Daphnia pulex: one gene and its partner. The protein of the gene in region 1 binds, or shares a complex with, the protein of each later gene. Links are inferred from orthologs where the notes say so. Each region holds a gene or a part of one and is shown on either strand. Other genes may lie near its edges.

Evidence for each region.
Region 2: THO complex subunit 5 homolog (region 1) and SAP domain-containing ribonucleoprotein-like share a complex: the UniProt entries of both Homo sapiens proteins name them as parts of the transcription/export (TREX) complex. The link is inferred for Daphnia pulex from reciprocal best matches to the Homo sapiens genes THOC5 and SARNP.

The regions. Positions count from the first base shown.
Region 1 is NC_060020.1:6,248,379-6,252,981, reverse strand, and holds the start of THO complex subunit 5 homolog, read left to right. Parts: upstream 1-1,512; 5' UTR 1,513-1,835; coding exon 1,836-1,955; intron 1,956-2,050; coding exon 2,051-2,485; intron 2,486-2,556; coding exon 2,557-2,742; intron 2,743-2,799; coding exon 2,800-2,932; intron 2,933-2,994; coding exon 2,995-3,301; intron 3,302-3,369; coding exon 3,370-3,595; intron 3,596-3,662; coding exon 3,663-3,729; intron 3,730-3,797; coding exon 3,798-3,995; intron 3,996-4,091; coding exon 4,092-4,207; intron 4,208-4,273; coding exon 4,274-4,546; 3' UTR 4,547-4,603. Other genes in the region: 60S ribosomal protein L13-like, read left to right, coding at 71-154, 216-374, 581-754, 816-1,082. UniProt on the Homo sapiens protein: Component of the THO subcomplex of the TREX complex which is thought to couple mRNA transcription, processing and nuclear export, and which specifically associates with spliced mRNA and not with unspliced pre-mRNA.
Region 2 is NC_060024.1:915,330-919,010, forward strand, and holds SAP domain-containing ribonucleoprotein-like, read right to left. Parts: upstream 2,214-3,681; 5' UTR 2,077-2,213; coding exon 2,056-2,076; intron 1,904-2,055; coding exon 1,810-1,903; intron 1,738-1,809; coding exon 1,670-1,737; intron 1,612-1,669; coding exon 1,502-1,611; intron 1,435-1,501; coding exon 1,110-1,434; intron 1,049-1,109; coding exon 869-1,048; 3' UTR 761-868; downstream 1-760. UniProt on the Homo sapiens protein: Binds both single-stranded and double-stranded DNA with higher affinity for the single-stranded form. Specifically binds to scaffold/matrix attachment region DNA. Also binds single-stranded RNA. Enhances RNA unwinding activity of DDX39A.

The DNA of each region.
Region 1 (4,603 bases):
CGATTTAGCAAGTCTTTTTTAGTGGAATCTGTAAAACTCACCATCGAAATTTTACTTTTGTAGTTTCACCATGGCGCCCAAAAGGAACAACATGATTCCGAATGGACATTTCCACAAACAGTGGCAGCGTTATGTCAAGACTTGGTTTAATCAGGTACATTTCTTTTAATATGTGTGTTGAATGTGTGCTTTACAGTAGTGTTTCATCTTTACAGCCAGCTCGCAAGCAGAGGAGGCACGCACACCGTGTAGCCAAGGCTCGTCGTGTGTTTCCTCGTCCAACGACTTCATTGAAGCCCATCGTCAGGTGCCCGACTTTCCGGTACAACACTCGTGTTCGTGCTGGAAAAGGATTCAGTTTGGAGGAATTGAGGGTAACATATTTACTATTAATGTATCATGTTTTGAATTGTGGAAATTATGACAGACACGACTCAAATCAAACTGCAAATTGCTCTGGTTTCATTGTCGAAGAGTTAAATAATCCATTTGGTTTAGTGTAGCAAATGTTTTATTATGCCATATGCTCCAAAGTTTTATATATTAATGTGATCATTTTTATTTGAATTTTTTGTTTTAGGCTGCCAAGATCCCTAAGCGTTTCGCCCCAACAATTGGTATTGCTGTTGACCACCGTCGTCGTAACAAGTCTGTGGAATCATTGCAGTTGAACGCCACTCGCTTGAAGGTCTACAAGAGCAAGTTGATCCTCTTCCCACGCAATGCCAAGAAACCCCAGAAGACTGATGCTACTGTAAGAATTGTGACAAGGATTGTGTACCACCACTTTACAATAACATTATGTTTTATTTCAGCCTGAGGAAATCAAGTTGGCCCAACAGTTGACTACTGAGGTTATGCCCATCACCAGGTCTTACAAATTGGAGAAGGCTCGCGCCATCACTCCGGCCGATCGCAAATTCTCTCCTTATGCTGTACTCCGCACGGCCCGAACAACAGCACGCCTTGCAGGTATCCGAGCTAAGCGAGCTAAGGAAGCGGCTGAAGATCCTGAAGCAGCCAAGGAGGCAAAGGCTAAAGCCGCCAAAGCCAAGGCTGCCAAGGGTGGCAAGAAGAAGTAAACCGTTCTCGGGATTGTATTTTGTATTTCAACCAAAAACGGCAAAAATACAAGATTATCCTGTCTATAATGTGTCAGACGTACGTCGAATTGCCTCAGTTCTTACAGCTTATTTGGTGGAAAACTTTCGTAAAAGTCAGACATAAGAAAGGCAAAAGTTTGAAACCTTTTTAAAATATTCACAAACATAACCCACAGTAGTTTTAACATGATTTATAGGTATAAGGTGTCATTTTGCTTGAATACCAATTATTAATCCTTAAATGGGAAGGATAAAATGTATAACAGGAAAATTGCATACTTGACGATCCCTTTGAGATAATTAGTGATGTCTATATCTCAACTCATGGTTAGAGAAATGAAATGTTGGTGGTTGAATATTTTTAAGCTATCGGGAAACTCCCTTACTCATGTAAAGGTAATGTTAAACGGTTAGGTCCTCTTTCTAAATCATTGATACAATGCGCAGTCCTTTCAAGATTAAGAGTATTGTTTAAAATTTCAATTTATTTAAAGCAAGGTTCCAGGACTCGGGCTATTTTCCTATTTTCTTTGATAAAGCCTGATAAAGCTAAAAGAAAATTTTAATTTTAACGGAACTAGTTCTTAAAATTACCGCTACGTGTACCCGTTTAAGAATAAAAAGATTCAACACGTTATACAGTTTTGTCGGCCTTGCATATAGTAGACGTAGACAAGACTTATTTAACATAGTAAACTGGTAAACGGAACAAGCTTGGAAGCGGTATTAACAATGTCTAAACCTTCCAAAACTAAAAGAAGTGACTCCGAATCTATTAAACAAGATCCCAAAAAAAGCAAAAATGATGTTTCATCTATGGCAGCAGCAAGTAAAGTGAAGGAATTTTGCAAGGTACTTGTTACTTAATTCTCTTAACTTTGGTTAGATTTTTTATTGGGTAAATGATATAGTGCTGAATTTAACTTTTCATTTGCATGATTTTCTAGAATTTCATGGACATTGAAGACAAGGAAGTTGAATCCCGGACAGGGGAAAGTGACTTGAAAATATTCAAAGAAACATGTTGTGAATTAAAAAGATTGATGACAGACATTTTACAATTGAAAACATCTGGAAAAACCGATGAAGAAACCAGTAAAAAGATCATTGAAAAAAGAATAGAAGCTTCTCTTTTGTTTGTAACATTGAAGAAGTTAAATCGAATAGACAAGCTTAGATTGAAAAAGGCAAGGGATACAACCCATGATGCCAAGCAGCGTGTGGATACATTTCATTTACAACTAGAAAATCTGCTGTATGAAGTCTTTCATCTGAAGAAAGAAGTGGACAAGTGTTTGGAGTTCAAGTCTAAAGATGAGGACATTGAACTTGTTCCTGTTGAGGAGTTTTATCAGGAGGCCCCAAGTAGCATTTCTAAAATGGTATGAAAATCTACCTATTGTTTACCAACCACTACCAAAAAGTATTCTTATTTTGTTTTCTTTACATTTAGGAATTGACCAAAAGTAATCAACACAAATTGACTTTGGCTCGGTTGGAATGGGAATTTGAACAACGGAAACGTCTTTCGGAACAGTGCCGTAGTCTGGAACAAAATCGAGAAAAGGCATCCAGTGAAATCAGTCAGAAACAAAAACAACTTGAAAGCCTGTTACCCAGACTTACTTCCATACTTGAGGTAATTAAGTGATACAAAATCTAAAAGAATTTGATTTTAATATTTATGTTTCGAAAGTCCACGCGACCCTTACAAGAAGAGCTTAATTTGCCTGTAGAGCGAATCAAGTTTCAGAAAGAGTTGGCTGTGTTATTACCGGATCCACTTTACATTTTGTACAGTCAGATAAAAGCGTTCATTGAAGCATGCGGTAATTTTATTAAATTCGTAAGTTTTCTTAATCGTTACGATAAATATGACTTTAACCCGCAGATCCGTCATTGCAAATTTCTATCGAAGGTGGAATGGAAGATGCTATTAATTTTGGGTCAAAGAATAAAACTGGTTTGGACGAAATTCTCGAGGATGTTGATTCAGCGGAATCTGACATGGAGACGGAATATGAAACAAACAAACGCTCCGCGACTTCAAATAAAATGAAAACAGATTGGCAATTGACTAGGCATCCTTTACGTATTCAACTTAAGATTGAACGCGTTGTCCTTAACTTCACGTATTTAACAACATTAAATATCGTCACGGTCGACTGCAAGCCCGTTCAGCAAGACGATGGAGTAAAGTAAGATTATATTATTGCTTTCTTTCTATATGTCGAAATGTCTTTTAAAAAAGTCTTTCTCTTACTAGTCAGATTTGTATGATCGATAATCTCCTTTCCGGACTTTTTCCAAACGACCATGGGGATGAATCGCCCAGTTGGGTCAATTGTTTTCAAGCAAGGTCTATGATCAACGGTAAAATAACTGAACAAGGAAAACCTTACCTTTGGGCCCAACGTTTAGCTGGGTTAGATTTCAACGGCATCGTAAAATCGACACCTCAATCTTTCATCAACACGGAATTCGTTGAAACGGTCTCTATAATTTTTTAAACAACAATAACATAGTAAAACAAGAATAACCGTGTTTACTTGTATTTAGGTTATTCTTGCCCTAAAAAGTAGGATTACTTATCGTTTCCAGTTTGTTAAGGTTTTACACTTACTTGGTGAGTCTTATTTCATACTTGTTATAAAACAGTTTTAAAATATGCATAGTTTCTTTAACATTAAACAGAAAAGGGTGAACTTGATCTCAATCAAGACTCAAATGCTACTTTTCCACCAACAATCTATTCTCGACTCGTCTCATGGACGTCTTCTACGTATGAAGAATGCCTCGTAACGTCAAAGAACCTTGAACGGCTGTTGAACTTCCTTGAAGTAAATCCAAAAAGCCTTTCGTTTTACAAAGCAACTCTTGAAAGAGAATCCGGTATAGTTGTAAAATATTTTAAAATTTAATTTCTGTTAAGGATCCTGTATGATGAATTTAATTATTATTGGAACCTTTTTTGTATTTGAATTCCAGCAAAACTACTCGCGATGTTCATGGTTCCTGTAGACTACCCGAACTCTACACCAATTTGTTCACTTGAACTTAACTGGAATGGAAAGCACAATAGAGAAAATAGTGAAATTATACGCGTATGTATTATAGCTAAAACTTTTCGTCTTCGGTTTTGTGATATTTTACGTAATTTTTAAAAATAGAGAATCGAAGCGGAGGTTAACGTTCCCAGTACTGAACTTCCTCCTCAGCACAAAGTTGATCTGCTGACAGTGCAATTGAAGAAATTGAGCCTGCATTTGGATTTGATTACAGAAATCGATGGTCAGTTAATGAAGAAAGGAGGCGGAAGTTGGCAGTCGCAGTCTAAACCAGAATTTGCAGCCGAGAAAATGATTCCCCAATTGATAAAAGGCCATGATAGAGCATATCCAACAAAATATGACACAGGATCTGGATTCTTTCTGCACCATTAATTGCCAGTTTTTTTTTTACTAATTGCTAAAATTCGAAATACATCCGAAGAAAAAAAA
Region 2 (3,681 bases), on another chromosome or scaffold:
CGAGTCGAATAAATTCTGATGTGATGAGAAGCAGTCGCTCGAAAAATAAACATTAAGAAGTCCCTATTCTGTTTACTTTGTTCATTGTTTGCGTCATATATAGAGTGTCAAATAAATGGTGTCTACACCAAGTTAAGATTGGGCTAATTTACCTACACTCTACCCTCTACGTTTTGCATCAAATAGTTTGTTGCGGTTTGTTGGTTTTTCGCCCCTTCAAAAGGCAAAGTAGGCCTAATGCGATGCGAACGTTTCTTTTCCCGAATATCTAGTAAAATCGCGTAGAGAAAAAAATATTATAGCCTATTATTGCAGCATTTGAGTTGTAATATGCTTTTGTAGTACAGGGGACTTACTTACTGTTCCTGTCCCTCATGGTATAGGACCATGCTGTCTCTTTCCAGATTTCTAAAAAAGCGTCCTACACTACATAGTGAGGGTTTTGAACCCACACTTTATTAGTGGCGGGTTGCTTATTACCTTTGCACGATTATTTCCCTTCCAACTTGAATTTTCTACATTAACCTAAACCGCTACTCCCTTCGACTTGCCACTAGCCTAGAACTCCCTCACTAAATTTCATCTCTTTGTTTCATGCTGCTCTTTTCTTTATAAAATCAAGTGAAATTGCGCACCAACATATCAGGTTATTTCAATTACAAACTAGAAACAAAACAACTCCGCCGACCAACCTAACTCGGACCCATGAGAAAATGTGTTTCAAGTATACACCAAATTAGTATTTTTTTTTTTATCGGGATAAGAAATCAGGTCACATTTAATTTTAAAAAACTAAAAATTTTGTGATCGAACCAAGTCTTTGTTTCATTTAACTGTACGTCAATTAATAAACTTTAAAACGAACATTTCAGGCAAGTCCGAAACGTTCAGCACGTTTGCGCTTCTGTTCGTCAGAACTGCCGACCGCAGTGCTCGTAGTTCCGAATCTCTCTGCTCGCTTCTGTTTCTTCTCATCAACTTCGGAATTAGAATTAGAAACGACGCCAAAGCGAGCTTGCCTTTTCAGAAGTTTGTCATTATCAGGAACCTTAAATAAAAATTCACTACATGAAAACACGAAGAACGATGAGCTGATCAATCGAAAATACCTGAGGTTTTGATGTGTTTGATTCTGTGCTATTTGTACCGCCAAATCTTTCTGCTCGAACAGCTTTCTTCACAGAATCGGGAATAGGAACACCAAATTTCTGTGCTCTTAGTTTGGCTCTTTCTTCGGCAGATAAGGAACCAAGTTTAATCACCTTCTTTTCTTCCTTTGAGTCAGATTCATCACCTTTATTGGCATCATATTTAAGGTGGTCGTCATTTTCCTGTGAAACTGTGCCAGAATCTGATGGAGGAGTTACCACCTTTCTGTTCAAGATGATTTTTTTATGGGGAGAAACTATTTCATTCTTCGAGTCCTGAACAGTCCTGAAATATTATTCATTTCATCATTAATCTTGAGGCAATTATTTTCCAAACAAACAGAGTAACTAACTTTTCAACTGTAACTTTGGGGGCACTCAATGCAGTAGGTGTTAAAAGAACTGCATCATCTTCTTGGGCGATCAAATTTGCATTTCCTTCCTCTAAAATAGCTTCTTCATCCTATACCAAAAATAAAATTGCATAAGTTTATCACATTGTATAAAACCAATGTTCTTACTGCTAAAACTGCCTCCTCATCCAAAAGGTCATCATTGTCTAAGGCGCCATTATCTCCAGTATCGTCATCTTAACATCCACGGAAAAAAGCTTGAACATAAACATGGAAACAGTTTAATAATCAAAATGATAAAAGTTTACCTTGCACAGCATCTTGCAGTCTTTCCATCAATTCATTTTTAGTGCCAATGGTGCTGAGGCCTCGTGTTTTTAACTCTTTTTTAAGGTCCACAACCTAGCATGAAAACAACAGTCAAGATGAAATGCACACAGTAGGCCTATCACTAGTTCAAAAACATAATAGACATTTGATTTGACAAACTCAATCAGGATTCTAAGTTGGAAATATTGACAAGTTTCACTCAAATATAAAGTTAAGCGGGTTACTTTTAATTTAGAGATGTCCATGATTGTGATGATAATGATGACGTTTGTCTGTACCGGCGTCTCAAACTTTCAATGAATTACAATTGGAACGCGCAACGCGGTAACTTGAAAGTAATTCGACTTTTGAATGCCAGTGTATTGTTTCAGAGGAGAAATTGCGTATGCTTTTGCTGGCTTCTAAACTAGTGATCTCTATCGGGCGCATCCTGTACTAAAGTAGTGTCACCTATCGTCAATGCAAAAAGTTTGTCCGAGTCATGTTGCCATGTTAGTGTGTTACTAGCCAACAATGAGAAAGAAAACCCTCGAAAAAGTAATCAGCCACGTAGGATAACTCTGGTAGGATTTTGAAAAAAAATAGTGAGAAATTAATTTTAAGCGATGGGTTTCTCGGACAAAAAGGCTACGCATAAAACATTGCAACTACGTTATTTCTGTAATCGCAAATGATCAAACTCATTGTCAAAGTAATTTTTTTTTTTTAATTTAAAGAGCTTGATAAAAACTTCATAAAATATCTTGTGATAAACCAAGTAAAACTGATTGGCTTAACTAACTAGTGTGTGTATTGTAAATCAATGATTTTAAATTTCATCGTAACATCGTAGTGAATTTTGAATTTTTGATTCTTTTCCCGCTCAAAGAACAAGAAAGTGACAAAAAGTAACGTGTTTTAAGACAAGCAAACAGTTCAAGCTGCAATAGTTATATAATGAATGAGACAAATGCTCAAGCCGTGTATTTCGCTTTGACATGAAAATACGTGCGCGCAAAAAGCACTTTCACGACGACGCTCAGCTTCGGACAGTAGGCAATGTTTACGTAGCGAGCGACACATCTCAAAGGAAGAAAAAAACAATGGTCTTTTCGCGTCTTTTTCTTTCTTTTTTAACAAAAAAAAACAAAAAAACAAAAACAAACAACCAATTCGCAGAAACGTGGCTATATTCCGGCAAGGAGTAAAAGGTGGGTAAAAGGAGAACACCAATTGCTGTGGCAATATCCAACTTGTGCGAGGCAATCGATTTCTGTTTTTCTTTTTTCAAGGCACGCACAACTTAACTATATATATCATTTACTGCTGAGGACAATTATGGTTTTACACGTTTCCAATAAGGGATTGGGGGGGGGGGGTTAAACGGCACGACGGTAGTCGATTTGTCTGGTCCCGGGATACTGTTGTAATAAAGGATATACAGTGATGCCCAATGATTTTCTTATGTTTTTTCACTATTCTTGGGACCCAATTTTTAAGCCCATTCTGAAATGGCGTCAAATTTTCTCTTTTTAGCTTATCGGGAATTGTTTTTGTTTTTTCCCCGATAAATACACGTTACACGCAACACTACAGCGATCATCATTCATCAACTTGTAAGCGATTGGTATACAAGCACTTGAAAATACATACACGAATATATCAAATCAGAGAGGCGCGCGTGGCGGCCTATTTCTTTTTGGCAATTAATAATAACGAAACAAAACAGAGGAGAAAAAAAAGACACGTATTTTCAAAATAGATCTTTCGAGACGTTTACGTTTGAACTGATGAGAACTAGACAAAATAGATATTCCAGTTTTTTTTGTTTTGTTTTTTGTTTTTTTAAGACACCGGGCATTTTTGTTTGT